Drosophila melanogaster: one gene and its partners. The protein of the gene in region 4 interacts with the protein of the main gene of each other region in a pairwise test. Each region holds a gene or a part of one and is shown on either strand. Other genes may lie near its edges. The genes, in order: CG12589, CG5327, Cluap1 and CG13083.

Region 1 (4,864 bases), on a different chromosome or scaffold from region 4:
ATCGTTCGCTTACTAAAACTGATTACACTGTAAAATTATTCGTATTCTTTTATTAAACCAAATTCATTTCCTTAAGTAAAATTTCGAGCAGTGTAAGTTTGGTTGGTTTGGGTAACAATAAGGTTTATGGCTCTGTACAGGGTACCACAAAACATTACCAATTATTATATTTCAGAGTAAATATTTGAGTATTGATAATAATATGAATAACATGAATTTTCCTTCGAGTGCGCCTTGCCTTGTGGCTGCATGTTGGTCCGTGTGAGTTTGTTAAGCTGCTTTTGAGGCAGGCACTCAGGCACAGGCCGACCACACACAGGAGCATCCGGAGTCCCGTGGTCCCATAGTCCCATAGTCCCGTAGTCCGGACTGCAGAGCCCATAGTCACAGGACGAATTCACGTGTGCGTTTGTCTCCGCTCCTTTGCGAGTGTGAGTGTGTGAGTGCGAGTACGAGTGTGTGTGTGTGTGTGTGTGGGTGCAGGACGACGGACATGTTGCTGAGGCGCGGCCAATGCTTGTTACGCTTTTGAGCCCCCGCCTGCGGTTGACAGAGCACGTTGAACCACCCACTCCGCTTGGTTCGAGCCGTGCACTTAGCCATCCGCCACCCACCACCAGCCACCCTCCGCCCATCGAGCCATCGTGAAAGCATCCAAACAGGCAGCTTTTCTGCGGCCTGATTCACATTAAAACGCAATTAAAGTTGCAGGCGTTAATTGTGCCGCCTGTGTTGCCTTTTTTTTAACCTTTTCAGCTTTTTGCCGTTCGCTGGTTGTCTTTTTGAGTTAGCTGCCGAAAATTAATTACTTTTGCCCTGTCAAAGTTTCCAAAGTCATTGGAAAGGGGGGAAGCGCAGATATTACGCGAGAAATATAAAATACTCGGCAACTATGAGTAGGTGTGTTCTGGAAATCTATTTACCTAATAAATTGTTGATCTTTGAGAGAGATTCATTTCAGAATTATGAATTATTTGTCCTGTATTCGTAAGCTAAAAACATGAATCCGATTATAAAGCCTTTTTTCTTATAAATCTTAAAACAATTCTACAGAACTTAAATATTCAGTGCCTTCATTCCGTGAAACGACACACATAAAAACATGGCTTTCCTAAATTTAAAATAGATTTTAATGGAAGTTCCACTGTTTGTTTGTAAATGGGAATGCTCGCATGTGAATGTCTCTTAATGAATCAAGTCCATGAATAAAGCCGCAAGTGGGGCTTTTTTCGACTTTTGCTGTGGCATAGCACTATGCGGTGGGCCGGAAGTAAGTGGGCGTGGCAGAAGTCGTTTGGTGCTAATGGGGAGCCGGACACACACAGATATGCACAGATATACAATGATATACAATCGTTCGCTGAGTTTTTCTCGTGCCGTTTCTTTAGCCAGATGTGTAGTAAAATCCTTTGGCTGGCAACTTTATCCTTCGGCGCGGATTCCCAGAAGCAGCTGTTGTTCTTCTTCCCCTTCACTGACGTTGCATTCTGAAAGCGCTGTTTATATCACAGCTTTTCTTATTCCTTTTCATTGTGCCGCCCGTTTTTCGCTTTTGCAACCGTCGGGTGGCTGGCTTAAGCGCCAGTTGCCGGCGACGTGCCGCTGAAATAATTAAGTTGCCAATCCCGGCAGGCTGAATATCAACAGACATCCAGAAAAAGCCAAGATAGAGATGCAACTGGCAATGGAAAGGGTTGCAGGCTTAAACTTAGGTTCATAGATTTTCAATTAGCCTGTCAGGATGAAAGCAGCAGGCGTGGATTTTGTTGTGCTCGATTTTTTTTTTATTTTTTTTTTCTCTTTTTATTTACAATCTGTCTTAAAAAAGTATGACAATAAGTAAATTTTATAATTAATCTTAATTTAACAGAGGCAGTAGTTATCCATTATCGATTTTTAAAATTTATTTAAAACGTTGTTTGGCAAATTGTTTAAAGTCAAAGGTGAGAGATGAGCCACTCCGTATTTGCAATCATCATCAGTGCTATTCCGCAAAGCTCGGACGGCCTTAAAATTGGGCTTTATCCTCGCCTTGGCAACATGTCGCATGCGTATTATCCAGAAATAGCCTCAAGTGCCTGCACCACAAATAGAAAACAAACAGCCAGCCTGCCCACACGCACACTCCCCAGCAAATAGACAGCTTGTCAAACTTTTCGGTTAGAAGGAAATGCGAAACATTCCTCGAATATTACGCATACGCACGGCTGGCGGCCACAACACCGCAACTAAGGCGTTTTCTGTGCATAAGATGTCGCCGGGCAAAGGAAAAGTGAAAACTGCTGCAATTTCCACCACCATTCCGCCCAGTTCACATTCTTTTGACAAGAGCCGTTGGCCTTGTCTCTCGACGAGATGCTTGATCATTAGCATCACAGTCGTAGTGGAGTCGCAGCAAATTGCTATGCTATGCAGTGCGCACTTGGCGAAATGCATTCATGATTTTAGACCATTTTTCCAAAGTGCTCAAATACCGTCAAATATCTTAGGATATCATTTAGATTTCTTTCGAACTTTACTTTAATTTCCGGTCATCCGCCAAATTTTCGGTCATCCGTAAAGTGAATGCCTGACATCCGAATATTTTTTTCCGTGTGGAACGTGCTGCCAATTTACGATTCAGACGGCGCTGCGCCGCCCGAAAAGGAACCCCAAACGATGCAACTGGGTCGGCCGGGTGCAATGCAACTCGTACTCGCACAAAGGAAACAAAGGCACTAAGTTGCGGCGACATGTAGCGCTTTAAGCTGTGGAGAGCGAGCGAGGCCAATGAATACCAAATGAATCGATAGTGCGAAATCGAACTCCGGGGGCAGCGTCAGCAGGGCTGGCATTTTTCTGCTCGGTCGAGCCAGGGTGCGGAAAAGCAATTTCGGTCTGAGCCACCTCAAGTAGCTGCCGCTTTCCCGCCTTTCCAGCCTTTCGTGCTTTCCACTAGGCCAAACGATTTGAAAATTTTACGAACGCACCACTGCGCATTGCTCACAACCAATCGAGGGCATTAGCTGGGCAAAAAATACAAGACATCTTAACCAAACACGGAGCAAATGTTCAATTTCCAAGTCAATCAACTAGAAAAAGTTGCACTCACTCGCTGCGGAAATCTTTTGCGTATAGGTTTCCGGCATGGAATGCTGGATTCTGGGCCCAAAGTTCTTGCAACTCGGAATTAAGCGATTAGATGGAAGTTTGCCACCCAGTTGGCACGCTTAAATTATTCCAAGTTTCCGCTTCTGTCGCCAGCAGATACGCACACTGAAAAAAACTGGGACTCCCACAACTATATAGAATAGGACATAGTATGTATTTGCTTGGCTCTACTTCCAACATGTGTTTAAAATTTTTCAAAAATATTTTGTTCAATTGACATATGTATGTATATTCATTACCAATATAACAATTTACCATTGCTGTGTAGCACACATCAGTTGCACAATGGACGCGCATTCCACAGCCGTCGCAGGCATAGATATGGAACTGGACTTCGGCGAGGACATGGATGAGCACGGAGAATTGGAGAAAGTGGGTCAGCCTGAGAATTTGGTAGCGATGGTGCTGCGCCTGCAGGCGAACCACGTGTGGATCCGGGAGCAGCTGACTCACCTACAGCGCCGCCTGGTGACCCTTCGGCTGGACAAGCAAAGAAGCTTATACGAGGGAAAGGAGCGGTTACAGCGACTCCTGCTGAGCTTGCAGGTGAAACACGGACGCCACTGGGCACTGTAGGGGAATCGATGGACGATGGAGCTCGGAATTCAGGTGACGAAAGTGTAAAAGTACAAGCGAACTATCTTGGTGAAAGATGATGTAATGATGTTCTCAACTTCGTATTAAATATAGTGGTTTTAGAAAGCTTAATCATAAAAGCCTCATTAATGTTAAATTAAGAACGAAAATTACTGAGAAATAGTTTCATAAAGTTTGCAAAGTAAACGATGGTTATGTCCAGTCTTTCTTTTGTATAAATATTATACCGTATATATTATATTGATTTCAGACATAAGTTTAATACGCAGTGAAAAAGACTTTGCCGACCATATATATTTTACTATAAAGTACATATTCTTGATCAGTAATAATATCCTAGTCGATAGAGTCATGTTCATATGGCATGAATCTTTCCCACAACTTCTATTTTTGCTGCTGGTGGTAAATAAGGCTAAGTTGGACCATAATATCACAAGCAGCCACAGGAATAATCGAAAAGTGAAATCATATAGTTTTGATTCGTTACACACTAGTATTTTAACAAATATTTAATTACTGCAAAGGCTTGGCTTATTAAGAGTATTAAGAAGTTTTACACGGCACTTCCACGAGTCCTTTCAATTATCCAACCTGATGACAGCCTGATGACAGTCCCAGCCGAACAGGAAGGCCAGATTTGTGGCCCACACAATCATAATTGTTGAACAGACTTGTGCGTTCGGATGTAAACCAAGTGCCGTACTTAGGCACTTAATTCATGCGACTAACACACGCCACACAATGCACATTGCCCGACAACAAATAGCCCAAAACCCTGGTGACATGGCAATCAAAGTTCGCCTTGCAGTGCGCCGCTCTGCGTAACTCAATTAACCAGACACCAAGCAGCGGAGGTCGAGTGCATCACTTAACTCGAGATTAACCCTTGACTGCCGCTGTCCGCGTCCTGTCCCCTCCAATGACGTGCGGCGCCTGGGATGGAACCTACTCGCTCCTCGTCGCATCAGCCACTTACACGGGCCCATTGCTGTTTAGCAACTATTTATGGAGACAAGTAGTTGCCACTTGCCACCTACATGCTCTACAGTACACAGAGAGAAACTGGGATCGATAGCAGCAGATGCCAACCTAAATGGAAAATCTTCGGCAGTTGTCT
Region 2 (5,473 bases), on a different chromosome or scaffold from region 4:
ATTGGTGAAAGATACCCAAAACGGGCACATAAGCTCGGCGACGCGCATCCAAGTGGCAACTACCCAGTGAAAAGTCGAAAAAGTGCAATACCAAGTCCTGAAATTAAAAGTGTTTTTAAAAAGTGAATTTCAAGTTCATAAAAAATTATTCAGTTGCCATAGCTAAGAGAGAAATTCCAAGAAGTCAAACAAAATGGTAAGTCCTTTATCCTTCAAATCCCTTTCCCTGCTGAAATTGTACGAAAATCAGAAAATCAAACTTAAATCGTAGTTTGTTGAACTGTTTCGAAAATTGGCAACTGCTTTTCACCAATTTTCCAAGCTATTTGTTCGCATAATATTTACGCAAATGGCAGTTCGCAGCTTTTAGTTTTTGCTTTGACTTTGCTATTGGCCTTAACCTGTTGCGAAAGTTGGCTGCCAGCTTGGCAGTTTATGCTTTTTGGCCATTGCAAAACATTTTTCAAATACCTTGATGTGGCACCAAGGGGAAAAGATTTAACAACATTGCATGGGGATCGTAAAAAAGTTATTACCTTTAATGCAAGCTCAAGTGTTTTATTTATTTCGAGTTTTCACCTGAAGTTATATAATTAAATTTATGAGTTCAATTCATATCGTGTTAGGAGAAACAATGACAGAATCATTTTCTTTGTTTAACATTTTAATGGAGAAAGTAAGGTCAGTGTGTTAGTCACTAATTAACTTCCTGAGTAACAAAGACACGACTGATCTGCTGACAAATGGCAGGCAATTGAGAGAAATCTGTAACGAACCTGAAAGTAGGCAATACTTTCTCGAAACAAAAAGTATCTCAAAGTGTTTCGGTTAACTATAATCCAAAACTAGAGAAAGTCGCGGTTCTTTTTTTCAAATGAATTTGCGGGAAAATCCCGGCTGGTAAGACCCGCAGATCTTGAAAGCAAATTCGTCAGCATCCAGATTCAACCAGCTATCAGTTATCAATTGGTATATTAACGTATCAGTGACAATGCCCGTATCGCCCAAATATTTTTTATTGTCGGCTCCAGAGTATATTGTGGAATAAATTTGTTTTTTATTTGCCAAACGATCCCATTAGATCGCCGTTAACCTCTTGTCTCAAATTCAGGCACATCTGTTGAGCCCCTCCTGGCAACATTCGATCTATCATCATCTACTGAGAAATACGTGTATTATATAGCCGAGGGTATTGGTAAAATCTGCTATTGATAAGTTGGATGGACGGTTATCGCCGGCGACTTCTTGTTTTTGTTATTGTTTTGGACTTGCGCCTCCGATTTACGTCGGATCCGAGCTGATTATGCAGCCTGGACAGGAGAGCGAAATCTCCAGAATTCAGTTCGAATTTTGCGATCCGAGGTGGAGCGTGTGCGGTTAGTCGAAGCAATTCAATCAATTGTAACAGCAACGAATCGGAATATTCATATATATATATACCAATAGCTATTATCAGCGATCATCGACTTTACAACGTAATTCATCTAAATCAATTGAGCAGTGATCTTTATAGACTTTATAGGTAGTTTTCCACGCCCTTCAGCCTCAACTGATGCACCACCACTCTAACTTCCGCTTCCCTTTTCGCAACCTAGGTCAATCAGAGCAAGCCCAAAATGGCCCTGTCCAAGATCGACACCGAGATCGAGCAGGTTGACCAGGAGAAGTACCTGCGTCAGGCCACTAGCTACTATCAGCCGCTGGAGAAACCCCTGAAATACGGACCGGAGGTGAATTCCCTATCGGACTTGGTGGCCGCCCTTCACCGGGAATTCGAGTCGAACTATGTTAACATCGAGATGGTGAATCACCTTATGCTCAGCTACAAGTCCAATCCGCGGGAGTGGCGCAAATATGCCAAGTTCGATCGTTACACCTACACGCGGAATCTCGTGGATGCTGGCAATGGAAAGTTCAATCTGCTGATTCTGTGCTGGGGCGAAGGACACGGCTCCTCGGTGCACGACCATGCCGATTCCCATTGCTTCATGAAGATGCTGAAGGGTGATCTGCGCGAGAAGCGCTACGAGTATCCCAATAGATCTGCCAGGGACAACGGCCGGTCCCATCATCCCGATGGCGAGATCGATAGCCGAGAGCTGGTGGAGATTGGGGAGACACCAATCGCCGTCAATGATGTGGCCTACATAAATGGTGAGAAAATTAGAAACTTTAAAAGTGGGGTATTCCTATACTTACTGTTTTTTTTTTTTTCGTTTTGTTATCCATAGACAATCTGGGTCTGCATCGCGTGGAGAACCCCAGCCATTCGGATACCTCTGTCTCCCTTCACCTATACTGTCCACCCTTCGACACGTGCTCCGTGTTCCAGGACAACCTGAAGAAGACCACCGCCAAGGTCACCTTCTGGAGCAAATACGGCGTGAGGACGAAGCAGAACGAGCAGTAGATCCATCAAGATCCTAAAAATATAGCCTCTCGTATTGTTGCATAATACTAAGAATCTTTATTACTAGATATTTAATGAGCTAGGGCCTAAGAAGATCCGGGAGCTGAGCTATCAAACATGGCGAGCAAGGGCCACGTTGGCGCTGATAAGTTCCCATTCCAATCCATTGGCTATCCCGGATCACAGCAGCGATTAGTGTACTTTAAGTGTTAGCTGTACCAAAAATATTCAATAAATAAGTGAACCATTGACAACTGCTTGAATGTGCTTTTTTAAATGTCACCAGATCCTGAATTGCATCCCGGTTAGACATCCATGTTGCGTGATCTTTTCGGCGGACCCCTGTCCAGTGTTTGCTTGATCGACTTGAGCAGACCAGGTATCAGGTTTATGTACTTGTCCACACAGTTGTTCGTGCAACTCTCAAACATGTGCTGGGATCGGGACATGTCCCGGTCACTCGGATTGCTGGGCATCTGAGACCGCGCATCGCTGTTGCAATCCTGCGGGTTGGCAATCGTATTAAAAATAGGATATATCAATCCAATATTAAGCATTTATAATTATAGTTTAAGCTCCTACCCTAACGCAGTTTTGAAGTCTATTCTGGAATTGGCCCAGCTCGTGCTGCAGGAAATCCTGGGCATCCATCAGGGGACCGGCGCACTTCTCGATGCAGTTCTGTACGCTCTCCAGCGTCCCTCGATCATCGTCGCAGCAGCGGGCGGCACAGCGGTGCATCGTGGACTTGGAAACAACGTTCTTACCAGAAATTCATAGTAGGCAAGTGGAGGCCACACACTCACCTGCATTCTGCGCAAGTGGGTGCGGTACATGTCCTCGATCATTTCGCTAATGGCGCCCTCCAAGCGCTTTTTTTGTTGCTCCACCATTTCAATTTAAAATTTGAACAATTTCGAAAGAACAAAACAAAATGTTGAATTGACAGTTTTCGGTGTACAAAGTATGTTTATTTTTTTTACTGATGGCAAAACTTGACATTCTTCCGAAGATTGTTAGCACAACAGTTGTTGGTTGCTGCTTAAGACTTTCAACAATTAATAAGGTAATTTTTGTTCTATATTCTTAAAAGCAAAATTTGAAATGACTCCAGAGATGGGACTCATTGCACGGTTTTAAAATAAACGAATTCAACAACTAATTATGTAGTAAATGCAGGTTGAGTTAGACTTGGGGAATGCTCTCGGGTCCCTTGGAGAGCACAGCCTTCATGGTCTTCATCATGCCGGGAATGAGGCCCACATGCTTGTCCACACACTGGATGGCACAGCGCTCGAATTGGTCGGTGTACTTGGCTATCTGATCCTCATTGGGACTGGGCGGCATTTTCACCTTCACATCGTCGTTGCATTGCTGCGGAAGAGGAGAATGTGAAATATGAGCGTTGCCTAATAATATTCTATTATTCTTAGAGCCACCAGGGCAAAAAGTTGGTGCAATGGATACTAACCATGACGCAACGTTGAAGTCTGCCCTGGAACTCGCCCAATTCGTGTTGAACGTAGTTCTGTGCCCTCGTCATGGGCGCGGAGCATCGATCCACACATCTCTGGACACTGTCCACGCTGGAGGTTCCATCCTGGCAGCACTTGGCCGCACACAAGTGCATCTCATTCTGGAATTTCGTGAAAAGCAAGTCAGTTTCGGGATATCCCCTAAAGCGAACTCCACTTACCTGCATTTTGCGCAGGTGCGTCTTGTCCATGTCGTCGATCATCTCCGTTACCGCGGCCTCGATTTTCTGGCGCTGTTGCTGGATCATTTTGCTTGTTTAATTGTTAATTACCTACGTCTTACAACCGATTTCGTAATATCAAAATAAATGCCGGCAGCGTGTTTTTTGTAATATTCGATTAGTGATGAGCCGACGCAGCTGCTAATAATCGATTAGCAGTCTATCGGTGCCGCTCTTCTTCTTTGGTTTTCCACTTGGTTTTGGTTTTCTTGTGGATATTTTTGAGCAATATTAAATTAAAACCATGTCGCTCTTGCAAAAACTAAGCAGATCTGGTGTACCGATGGCTTCATTAACCTGTCGTTCCCGAATGCCAATGGTCATTCGACTTATCAGCGGTAACACAGAAAAACCGGCGGAGGAATCTACTCCCGCAGTGAATACGGAAACGGCGGAGATTGGCAGCAGCAAGGGAGGATTCGCCCGTGCCTTCGACAAGTACACGGCACCAGCCACGCCTCCACAGCTGCCGGAAGACAACCAGACCTTCGCCTCCCTGCTGCGCAACTCCAAATTAATTGATGTGGGTACATTATTTAAGTAATCCCATTGTTTATGTAATAACTTGTTGATTTCTGGAGCAGCTGGACAACGCCGAGGGCAAGGTGGTCAGTGGCAAGATCTTTCATGTGGTGGGCGATGATCTCTACATAGACTTTGGTTGGAAGTTTCACTGCGTCTGCAGTCGTCCAACACGCAATGCCAGGTGAGTTCAATATAATTTCCTGTCTCTTTATCCAATAAACCGCCTTTCCTACTTCAGCGACTATGTGCGAGGAGCCCGTGTTCGACTGCGCATCAAGGACTTGGAGTTGTCCACCAAGTTTCTGGGTTCGTCCAAGGATATTACCATTCTAGAGGCAGATTGCCATTTGCTGGGTCTCCTGTCCACGCCCACCCGCCAGTCGACGGCCAAAACAACGCCGAAAATCGAAGATATCCTATAAATCCTTTATTAAAACCAAGGTTTGTTAAACGTTACGTCAAGTCTTCATCCTCCTTGGTTGTGAACTGGAACACTTCGTAGTGATGGTTGAGTTCCCGCACCGAATGCAGTTGGAATCTCGTGGCTAGAGCTCCGTTTTCAGAGTTCTTAACGAAAAATACTCTTTTCGCCCTGCTATGTACCAGGGCCATGGAGCACATAAGGCAGGGTTCCTGCAGCAGATAGATATCGTAGCCGGTGCACAGATAGGGTCCGAATTTGGCCAGGTTATCTGCTCCTTGAACTGCGTCCACTTCTTTGCATTCTCTCGACTTTTCCGCTCCGAATGTCAGGTCTTTGTAGTCTTCATTGTTCATCAGGT
Region 3 (4,756 bases), on a different chromosome or scaffold from region 4:
TGAGGAATTTTATTTGGGTTGATCATTGATTAATAAGTCTATCATAAGCATGATCTGAAAATATATTTACATTCATATATTTTCTGATCATGCTTATGAACGAGAAAACTTGTAAATCTAACAAATTAAGCTGTCTGCCAATTTCACAGATAAATAACACCTGTTGAGAGCTCTTAGACTTCACACTATTACAATCAATCATTGATTTTTTTAGTTTCTTATACAAATAAATGTTATTGCACACACCATAGATACATATGTATGTGTAACGAGCGGGTTTTTGTCCAGAAATAATTTAACCATAACGAGATAGTCAATAACTAAACGGTATGATATCGATGCGAATAGAAGAGAAAAAAAGTTTGAAAATGCACGCAATAAGCAAAGCACGCGAAGTTTGTGAAAGCAATTGTAATTTCATAATGTTACTCAATTTTTGAGTACAAGGCCTCCAGCTACTGATCGGGTTTAAAATACATTTGTGTGCGCTATAAAATACAAAAAACAAAAACAGTTTGAGCACAACCCCTCAATTATTTAACTATCTGATACCCTAGTATCAGAATATGCGTAGCAAGACAAGGGAGAACGCTATGAATGAGTTCTCCGACTATCAGAAGATACACGTTAGTGGTTGGTTGGTTTTGGTATGTATTTATTCCTTATGCACCAAGACTATTACTTAGTAAAATCCGTATTCCCCATATTAAGCAAAACAAGAGTGTATGATATAATCGAGTTCCCCGACTATTAGATACTCATCGTTACTCAGCTAGTGGAAATGCGAATGGGAAATTTCATAATTTTTCTCGGATATCGATAGATATTGGGAAATAATATAATATTGGCAATTTAAAAGACTAATAATAATATGAAAAAGTATTAAAACATTTAGCAAACGTGTGGGCGTGACAGTTCTAGGCAGTTTGTGGGCGTTAGACTGGGCTTGGGAACATGGGCAACTGCACTGCGTCTACGTCTTTAGAATCTGTATGCTTCTTAACTTTCTTTTACCTTCTAGCTTTTATTGAAAAATAGATAGATTTCTGAGATCTCGACGTTCATACGGATGTCCGGCCGAACATGGATATATTGTATATTAGGAATATATATACAATATATGGTCGGAAACGCTTCCTTCTACCTGTTTCATAAGAATATTACTAAAAGGATATAACAAATTTAGTGCCGCTTTTAGGCATTTTGAATGTGCGCTTGTATGATTGAAACAGGGTTCATTCGACTTTTTAAATAAATAGAGTTTTATTTGGTTTTCATATCCATTAATTGTATAAAAACTAAAAAATTAGAAAATATAAATTCTTGATGAGGATCACAAGCGGAATCTTCCATCTGTCGATCAATATTAACTATAAGCTATATATGTACATATGTATATATGTATATACACTGTAAAAGCTAATGTGACACACACACAGCTCTAGTGTGTTTCAGAACGTCGTCTTGCCCACTATAACGCCCGCAAACTTCCCAAAATATCACACCATCGATAACCCAACAGAGTGTTGAATCTGTGCAATGATAAGTAAATTACAAGAACAATAAAGGATATATAGAAAAACTGAAATTTATGTGCCCAACAGGTCAATTTCAGTTGAGATAGTGGCGCCCTCTGTCGGGTATGCTTAATTTGTAAAAATCCCAATTATCGTATTTCAATAATTCGTTCTTAGCAACTCCTACATTTTTAATGGAATGGAAACCGCGCAACCGTTTCCCAGGTGAACCCCGTGCGACCGTCCACAGCAATCGAATGAATATTAGCCAAGGATAGCAGGGGGACACTGCGAGAAATTTCATATGGCAAGTGATAGTAACCTGTATTTGTTTAAGTATTAAAATAAAAAAACTAAAACCTATTTAAGTTAAAATTAATTTTATTTCGCTTTTATTTTCAGTTTCATGTATTGCTGTTTTTGAGAAATTTAGTACATATATCTTAATTCCTATTTTATGTAATATTTTCTTATTAAAATTCCGTTTAAAATTACCAACATTGTTGTTGACAATAATCTTAGTTTAATATTAATAATATATTTTAGAAATGGATCAATGTTTAGAGTTCGTTATCATATTTTCTCGCTATGCATTTTCCGTTACCTAGCAACCATCAATTTGGGATTCGGTGGCCCAAACAAAAGCTCCAACGACCACAACAAATGACGGTGTTGAAAATGCAATTGCCAGCGCAGCCGCAGCGATTGCAAGCAGCCAAAGAAAAACAGGTGAACTCGTTGGAAGCCAGGAATGTCCTTCAAGGATGTGCGAGGTGCGTACTGACTTCCTCCTCTTACTTCCTCCACCTAACACGACCAGACTGATACTCCACTTCCAGATCTGGGGGAACATCTTAAGCTGTTGGGGTTCCCGCGCGTGTTTCCCCTCCAATCCCTGGCCAATCAGCATGGCAGCCTGGCCAGTTTCCACATTGTTGCCGAGCTCCTTCAATGGCTAGCAGGACTAATAGAGCCAGGAGCCACTTTGCCCGGCGGCGTTGAATCGGAGGAGCAGCGGGTTCTTCTCGTCCGTTCGGCGACCGAGTTTTTTGTGACCAAGGCAGCCATTCGTATTAATCCCCGAAAACTGTATGCAGCCGCTGCGGTTACGGCGGCAGAGCTACAGAAGGTTACCCGACTCTTGACATCCCCAGGACAAAACGAAGCGGACAACGACGAAGAGGACCAAAGGGACCAGTACCGGAGCCTAAATCCCGTGGATATTGGCGATAAAATAGAGGAGTTGCGTAAGGCTCGAGAACTGGCCACAGACCTAACCCAGCGTGGCACAACCATATGCGAGATGCTTTCGAAGGAACTGCTCCACAAGGAATCGCTAATGTCCCAGGCCCAACGACCCCTGGAGCTGCTCAGCGTGGAGCGGACCCTGAAGAGCGCCATCCAAGCTAACCAAGTTCGCCTCCAATCGAGTAGAGCCCAACTGGAAGCAGCCAAGGTGGAGCTCAATGCTCTGGGATCAAAGCTGCAGCGCCGTCGGGCGGAGCTCGAGCGAACCCGCCAAAGACTGGAGGCACTGCATCGCATTCGACCAGCGCACATGGCCGAATTCGAGGACTGTGAGAAGGAGTTGCAGGAGCTATTCCAGCGCTACTTTCTCAGGCTGCATGTGCGCGATGCTCTAAAGTCCCAGCTGGACCTGCGTACTAAACGTGCCACACCTATCTCCTCACCCATTCTGCAAAAGCCCGCCGAGAACTCAATGCCCTTCATCCCGGAGGGACTCATCGAGGACGACGATGACGACGACGACGAGGACGATCTGGATGACGAGGATGAGGGCGATGATGGCGGCAAAGCACTTTCCCGTCTCGAAATGGTGGTCAATGGCAGGAGTGTCTTCGGCCTGGACTCAGAGATACCCGACATACGGGACGAGGACAAACTAATGCAACAAAACAACATGGTTTCCGCCCAGGGAAAACGTCCTGGTACCGCCACCTCCAGGATTAGACCCACAACGGGTAGAAGCAGGAAGGCAGTAGGAGGTAAGGAAGTTCTAATTTCACAAACTTATTTCCCTGCTCAAATAACGAAAATCCCAGGAAGAGGCACAGCCGGCCCGGATGGTGGTAATGATGCCAGGGCAGCCCGCGGCACCAGGAGAGGTGTTGCGACTGGAGGAGACGCCGATGGCACCCAGCTAAACGGCCGCAACGGACCCGGCAGCAGTATGCTCAACTCCCGGGACGAAGACAGCAGCTTCGGGAGCTCCGAAAGCGAACTGGATGTGGGTAAAATCATGGGCATGAGCGGAATGAGCGGAATGAGTGGCATGAGCGCTATCAGCGGGATAAGTGGGATGAGCAATATTGCCTTGGGAGCCGGCGATGATGATTGTAAGTCGTGTAGTTACGCCTTGAACTTATAACAAAACTTTACCTCATTCACCCCTAGTTGATCTGAACTCGATCGATGACATAAGCATTTCAAAGTTAACTGGCGAACTGCCACTTAGACCGAAGACCGCCAATAAAGCGGAGCATCACAGCGATGAGGATTTCTAGGGATAACTACAATATTTATATTTATTTGCTAATTTTATAAACTCAGCCAGAGGGCAGACAGGTTGTAAAAAGTAAATAAAATATTCCCATCAAGCAATTAAAAGATTTCTTTCCACGTCACAATCAAATACGTCACCGTCTCGCAAATAGACGGCCTTAGGGTTCCGGTTCCTGCAGTAACACGAATTGTCTGGCGATATGGTGACTAGTATGATGAGCAATCAAAGTGTAGTCAAAGATGGATTTCTGCATGTACATAGGTAAGTGGGACTGTGCAAGTCAAAGCATAGCCAGGATCCCTAACTAAGTACATCGTTATCTGTATGACTTTAGCTAATCTATTCCTCCAAGAAGCGAGATATAAATTAAATTTGCTTTTGTAGATACGTTATAATCAGTTAATTCAATGCTCGAATAATTGAAATAGTTTGCTTAATATATCTTTATTCGATTAATTTTAATGTGTCTTAAGAGCTATACGCATATGTAAGTACATTGATAGAGTAATGGATATAAAAGGGGTAATTTATCAGACAAAGCCCCACATAGATGGGATTTCGTTGTGGCTCCGTAAAAAAAATATATACAAAAGTCTGGGAAACTGGGAACTAGAGAGCGGATGCTTTTCCCGTCACATCACCACATCCCGGCAAACGATCTTCGTTTTGAAGGATGCCCTCTGACCGCCGTACAAGTCCGAGGAGGCAGACGACG
Region 4 (4,254 bases):
GAGTTGGGTATCCTGCTGTGCAGGGACAGCAAATCATTGACCTCCACTAGCGATTATGGAGCGTTCTATGACCAGTTTGACCGCGCCCACTGGCAGCACATCGTCCACAACAATGCCAGCCAGTTCCTGGAGCTCTGCAAGCAGCTGGATGTGCTTCCAGATGTCTGGTCACTTCACGAGTGGTCTGTCTGGCGCACGCCGTCCACGTTTAAGAAGCGCTTCGAGACGGCCTTCTTTATGACTGCCCTGGAACAGGAACCCAGGGTTCACATCGAACCTAATGAGGTCAAGGATTCTGCGGTAGGTGGGTGGGATATTATACGGCACAAGAGCGATACGCGAAACCTTTAAGTTGCATTTAATGTACTATCATTTATATTATTGTAGTGGCGTTCCCCATTGGACTACCTTCAAGCGAGCCTAAGAAAAGAACTCTGGCTGCCGCCTCCACAATTCTATGAACTTTCGCGCTGCCTAAACTTCTCCTCTTTAGATAACCTGCGTCAGTTTGCAGCAGAGCGTGAGGTCAAAGGCATTCAGCTGATTCATCCTGTAGTGCACAAGTGTACAAATGGATTAGTGCATCTCTTGCCAGGAGATGATGCTTACCCCGCCGATCCGGATGCAAGTAACGAAAAAATTGAGATCGATTTGTCAGTCGAGGAATTCCGTTCGAAGACGAATGCTAAATTACATCGATCGGAGCACTGGAACCAGCATCAGTCGCAGCTGATAATTAAGTTTGAGCGGGATGATGGTCAGGTTCATCCATTGGATCCAACAAAATTATAGAGGTAGAGCCGGTTTCCTCTATGTCAGGTGCATTTATCTAGTTTTATAAGTTTTCCAACAATTGATATATAAAGTTGGACATAACACTTTTTAGCAATATACAACTTATAAAGTTCGATTTCCTCCATTTACTCTTGTTTATTACATTGTGTTACAGAACGGTTTAATATACAATTATATAAGATAGATAGAATCGACATGCTGGGATTTGATATAGGAAATCAAGCAATTTCTGAATATGGCATAAAACATCTATCTTCAGTTTTCGTATTAATGCTACTGGCCCTTTCCATACCAAAGTTTGTATAGGTATTCAGCCTCTTCTTGGGATGCATAGACGTTCTCGTATCCTTGATTGCCCTCTGGTTTTGGCCTTAAAATGAAAAGAGTGGTTTTAGTGTGCACCCAGAAGTAGGGCATACAAACTTACTTGTAAATTGGTGCGTGTTCCGGGTGAGTCCAGATCTCGTGGGGCTTCTGGTGTGACGGATTTTTGTGCTTGCAGCCATCCAGCGTCCTTTCAATGTTCTTCTGATTGTTCAGTAGGGCAGCCAGTTTATGATCGACCTGTGAGGTGGCCACCTGCACTCCATGGACAGTGTGCTCGATGCTGTTGAGGCTCTCGGACTGAGTGCGGTTGAGAATGACCAGACCCCACTCCAATTGATTGACTTTGCGATTGGCACGATCTGCCAGAGCCTTAAGTTCGCCCAGATATCCCACTTGACCCACGATGTTGCGCTGCTGCTCCTGGAGGACCTTCGCTTTATTGTCCAAGCCGATGAGTTCCCCTATGACGGCCTGTGATAGCAGCTGCTGAATCTCCGACAGATGCGAGTTGACGGATGAGGCCACTTCATTTAGGTTCTGCTCGTATTTGTTCTGATTGGCAGCCACTTGTTCCAGGGCTTTCCTGATTTCTAGCTCCACTTTGGTAAGATTCCTAATAGAGTTTTCATTCTGACCCTGGATTGCGTTAACAATGGCTGTCAAATTTCCCACTCCAGAGGCCGTGGCTTGGAAGCTGCTTTGAACGTTCGATTCCAGCTTGGCTATGGCAACCTCCAATCCAGCAATGAGTTCGATCTCGTCGCGCTGATGCTTGAACTTCTCTTCAATGCCCTTCTGCACGTCCTTCACTTTCTGCAGCCCATGGTTTAGCTCCTCCGTACCTTTGATCAGCTCCTCCACCTCACTGCGGATCTCATGGATGGAGTCCAGATCCTCAGCTGCAGCCGCGCATAGGTAAATGCATATCGTTAGCAAAGTCAGTCGCACTCTCATGGTGTTTCTCTGATGGCCGCTCCCCGCTGAGTGTCTCTTTTCGATCCGAACCGCAACTTAAGTAGCCCAACTTAAGGTCCAAAACGTGTCTTAGACTGGGTTAAGTTCTATCAGTTCGGTCACCACCCACTTCTCTTCAGCGGGTGCAGGTGCAAATGCTGCTCCAATCTGTAATAGTGTGTTTACGAGAATTTCCCTACTACTAAGAAGATAGTCGCGAACAACTGTTTTATCATCTTGTAAAAAGAAAGAACTAAAGCGAATTATGTTGCATGTAGTCGTACTAAATAGTTATTGGTTCATCGACATCTTGGTAAAGTTAGGGAAAATCCGTGTAGTGTCACGTTTCAAAATTCTTCTTTGTTTCTAAACAGAACAGATTGACCCGGTTTTTTGTGTGCTACGGTAGTAATAACACCACTGAAAAACGTGCCCCAGCTGCTTCTTGTTCAAATTCATTCAGAAAATAGGTCTTCGAAGGTAATGATAACGTAACAAATGTTTTCGGGCATACTGTCTATCGTTTACAAGAAATAAAGTAATAAAGCGAACTAAAGTAATTTTGTAAAAGTTTAATAAGTCTATATTTTGTTTCCTATTTCGAAAACAGCAGTATAATTAATTATCCTTCATATTATCATGCCTATTCAAAAATTGGCCAAGATGCCTTTTGCAAATTTAAACAAACTTGGATCCTTTACTATTAACTTTTAAAAAAGCTTAAAATATTTTTAAAATTTGCTTCTATCAACAAACAATAGCATAGGTTAATAGTAAGGTGAATTTATTTACCTACAAAACATACAAAATAACAAAAATTTCTTCGTATATTTTGAATAGATTTTGAGAAAAGTTTTTGGAAATTGAATGTATATTTTCGCATACGATGCTAAAAGTTGATGCATATGATTTCCATGAAACTATAGCATTTTTTCTCAAAAGTTATTTATTAATTACTTGCTAGGAATATAATCAAAAATGTATTTCCTTTGCTTTTTTTTTATTTATTTATAAAACATAAAAATTGTACAAAGTAATGAATCTGAATTAAAAAAAAAGAGTTTGTTAAATGCTTTGAAAAGTTGTATCAGTTTCAGTAACAGTGGTAGTCCCAGTTAAATCTTCCTTTAGTATCCTTGGGGGAGGGAACTGTCTCCATACCAAATCCTGAAGGATTCTCCTGGCTGGATGGGCTGTGGCTTGTAGATCTCCTCATTGTAAGACTGTGGCTCGTGGTGGGGCTTATGAGGTTGCTCGTGGTTAGGTTTGGGACTGTAATCCACAGGAAGCTTGTAGGATTCAGGCTGGTCATGTGGCAAAGGAACATAGGATGCCGGAGTAGGGTGCTCTTTCTTGGGGCACGGCTTGGGCTTGGTAACGGAGGTGGGAACGTGGGCCGGAGCTGGGTTCCATGGCTGATGGTGGTGAACTGGAGCGGACTGGTATGGGGATCCGTACTCCCACGGCACCGTCTGCCGCCAGGACACGGCGCTGGAGCTCTGATAGTTCTTCTTTGGCTCGGGGGACTGGGCATAGGCGGTAGCTTTGTGGTTTCCAGAGTGCTCTCCTATGAACGACAAGCCATTAATTTGTGATCCTAATCTGGTGGCAATAAGGACCACTTACCGTGCTTGGGCTCCTCCTTGATGCTCCACACCTGTTCCAGATCCACTTGCTTGGGCTTAGGATGAGCATGCTGCGGCTCTGGGACCTCAGCTCCGTAGGTGGGAAGATAGGACTCGTCGTGATGGCCATATTGCGGATAGGGCTGTTGTCGGCTGCACTCTTCCAGACCCAGTTCGATGCGTTTCTGCGAGATGATCAGTTCGCGGAGAACAGCCTCCACTTTCCAGGAACTGTGGGGCTGCAAATGCTTGACTGCATCGATTAGGATGTCCAAGCGCTGCTCCTGAGTGCGATTCAGCTGCTTCAATTGATGCTCCAGCACGTTCAGCTTGAAGTTGGAGTTCTCGCTGAGCTCCTTGACTCCGGCCAAGTTCTTCAGCTCCACCTCCACGTTGATTTGGGACGTCTCCAAGCTATCGAAGGTACACTTTAGCCCATTCAATTGTGGCAACACCGTCCTAGTAATAAGTTTGGCCAGTCCGTCGATGCTGTTGTCAATGTTGCGGGAACTATGGAGCACGTGCCTCTGATAGGCATCCAGCTTGGCCTCCA

The links.
Region 1: the proteins of CG13083 (region 4) and CG12589 interact in a two-hybrid assay, tested with the Drosophila melanogaster proteins (one large-scale study listed by BioGRID).
Region 2: the proteins of CG13083 (region 4) and CG5327 interact in a two-hybrid assay, tested with the Drosophila melanogaster proteins (one large-scale study listed by BioGRID).
Region 3: the proteins of CG13083 (region 4) and Cluap1 interact in a two-hybrid assay, tested with the Drosophila melanogaster proteins (one large-scale study listed by BioGRID).

Annotation. Positions count from the first base shown.
Region 1 is NT_033777.3:5,136,049-5,140,912, reverse strand, and holds CG12589 (uncharacterized protein), read left to right. Parts: upstream 1-1,923; 5' UTR 1,924-3,299; intron 3,300-3,339; exon of another isoform or gene 3,340-3,418; 5' UTR 3,419-3,435; coding exon 3,436-3,726; 3' UTR 3,727-3,856; downstream 3,857-4,864.
Region 2 is NT_033778.4:18,613,881-18,619,353, reverse strand, and holds CG5327 (uncharacterized protein), read right to left. Parts: upstream 3,367-5,473; 5' UTR 3,304-3,366; coding exon 3,217-3,303; intron 3,158-3,216; coding exon 2,993-3,157; intron 2,914-2,992; coding exon 2,716-2,913; 3' UTR 2,411-2,715; coding exon of another isoform or gene 2,232-2,410; 3' UTR 2,200-2,231; intron 2,155-2,199; coding exon of another isoform or gene 1,617-2,154; 3' UTR 1,037-1,616; downstream 1-1,036. Other genes in the region: CG5493 (uncharacterized protein), read left to right, coding at 1,617-2,154, 2,232-2,410; CG5323 (uncharacterized protein), read right to left, coding at 3,596-3,784, 3,882-4,046, 4,107-4,193; mRpS28 (mitochondrial ribosomal protein S28), read left to right, coding at 4,411-4,689, 4,751-4,872, 4,930-5,113; CG10927 (uncharacterized protein), read right to left, coding at 5,145-5,473.
Region 3 is NC_004354.4:22,541,736-22,546,491, reverse strand, and holds Cluap1 (clusterin associated protein 1), read left to right. Parts: upstream 1-2,169; 5' UTR 2,170-2,268; coding exon 2,269-2,290; intron 2,291-2,356; coding exon 2,357-3,523; intron 3,524-3,580; coding exon 3,581-3,874; intron 3,875-3,932; coding exon 3,933-4,042; 3' UTR 4,043-4,106; downstream 4,107-4,756. Other genes in the region: CG17600 (uncharacterized protein), read right to left, coding at 4,674-4,756.
Region 4 is NT_033779.5:19,485,346-19,489,599, reverse strand, and holds CG13083 (uncharacterized protein), read right to left. Parts: upstream 2,111-4,254; 5' UTR 2,077-2,110; coding exon 1,223-2,076; intron 1,166-1,222; coding exon 1,069-1,165; 3' UTR 909-1,068; downstream 1-908. Other genes in the region: CG10194 (uncharacterized protein), read left to right, coding at 1-300, 388-792; CG13084 (uncharacterized protein), read right to left, coding at 3,204-3,643, 3,703-4,254.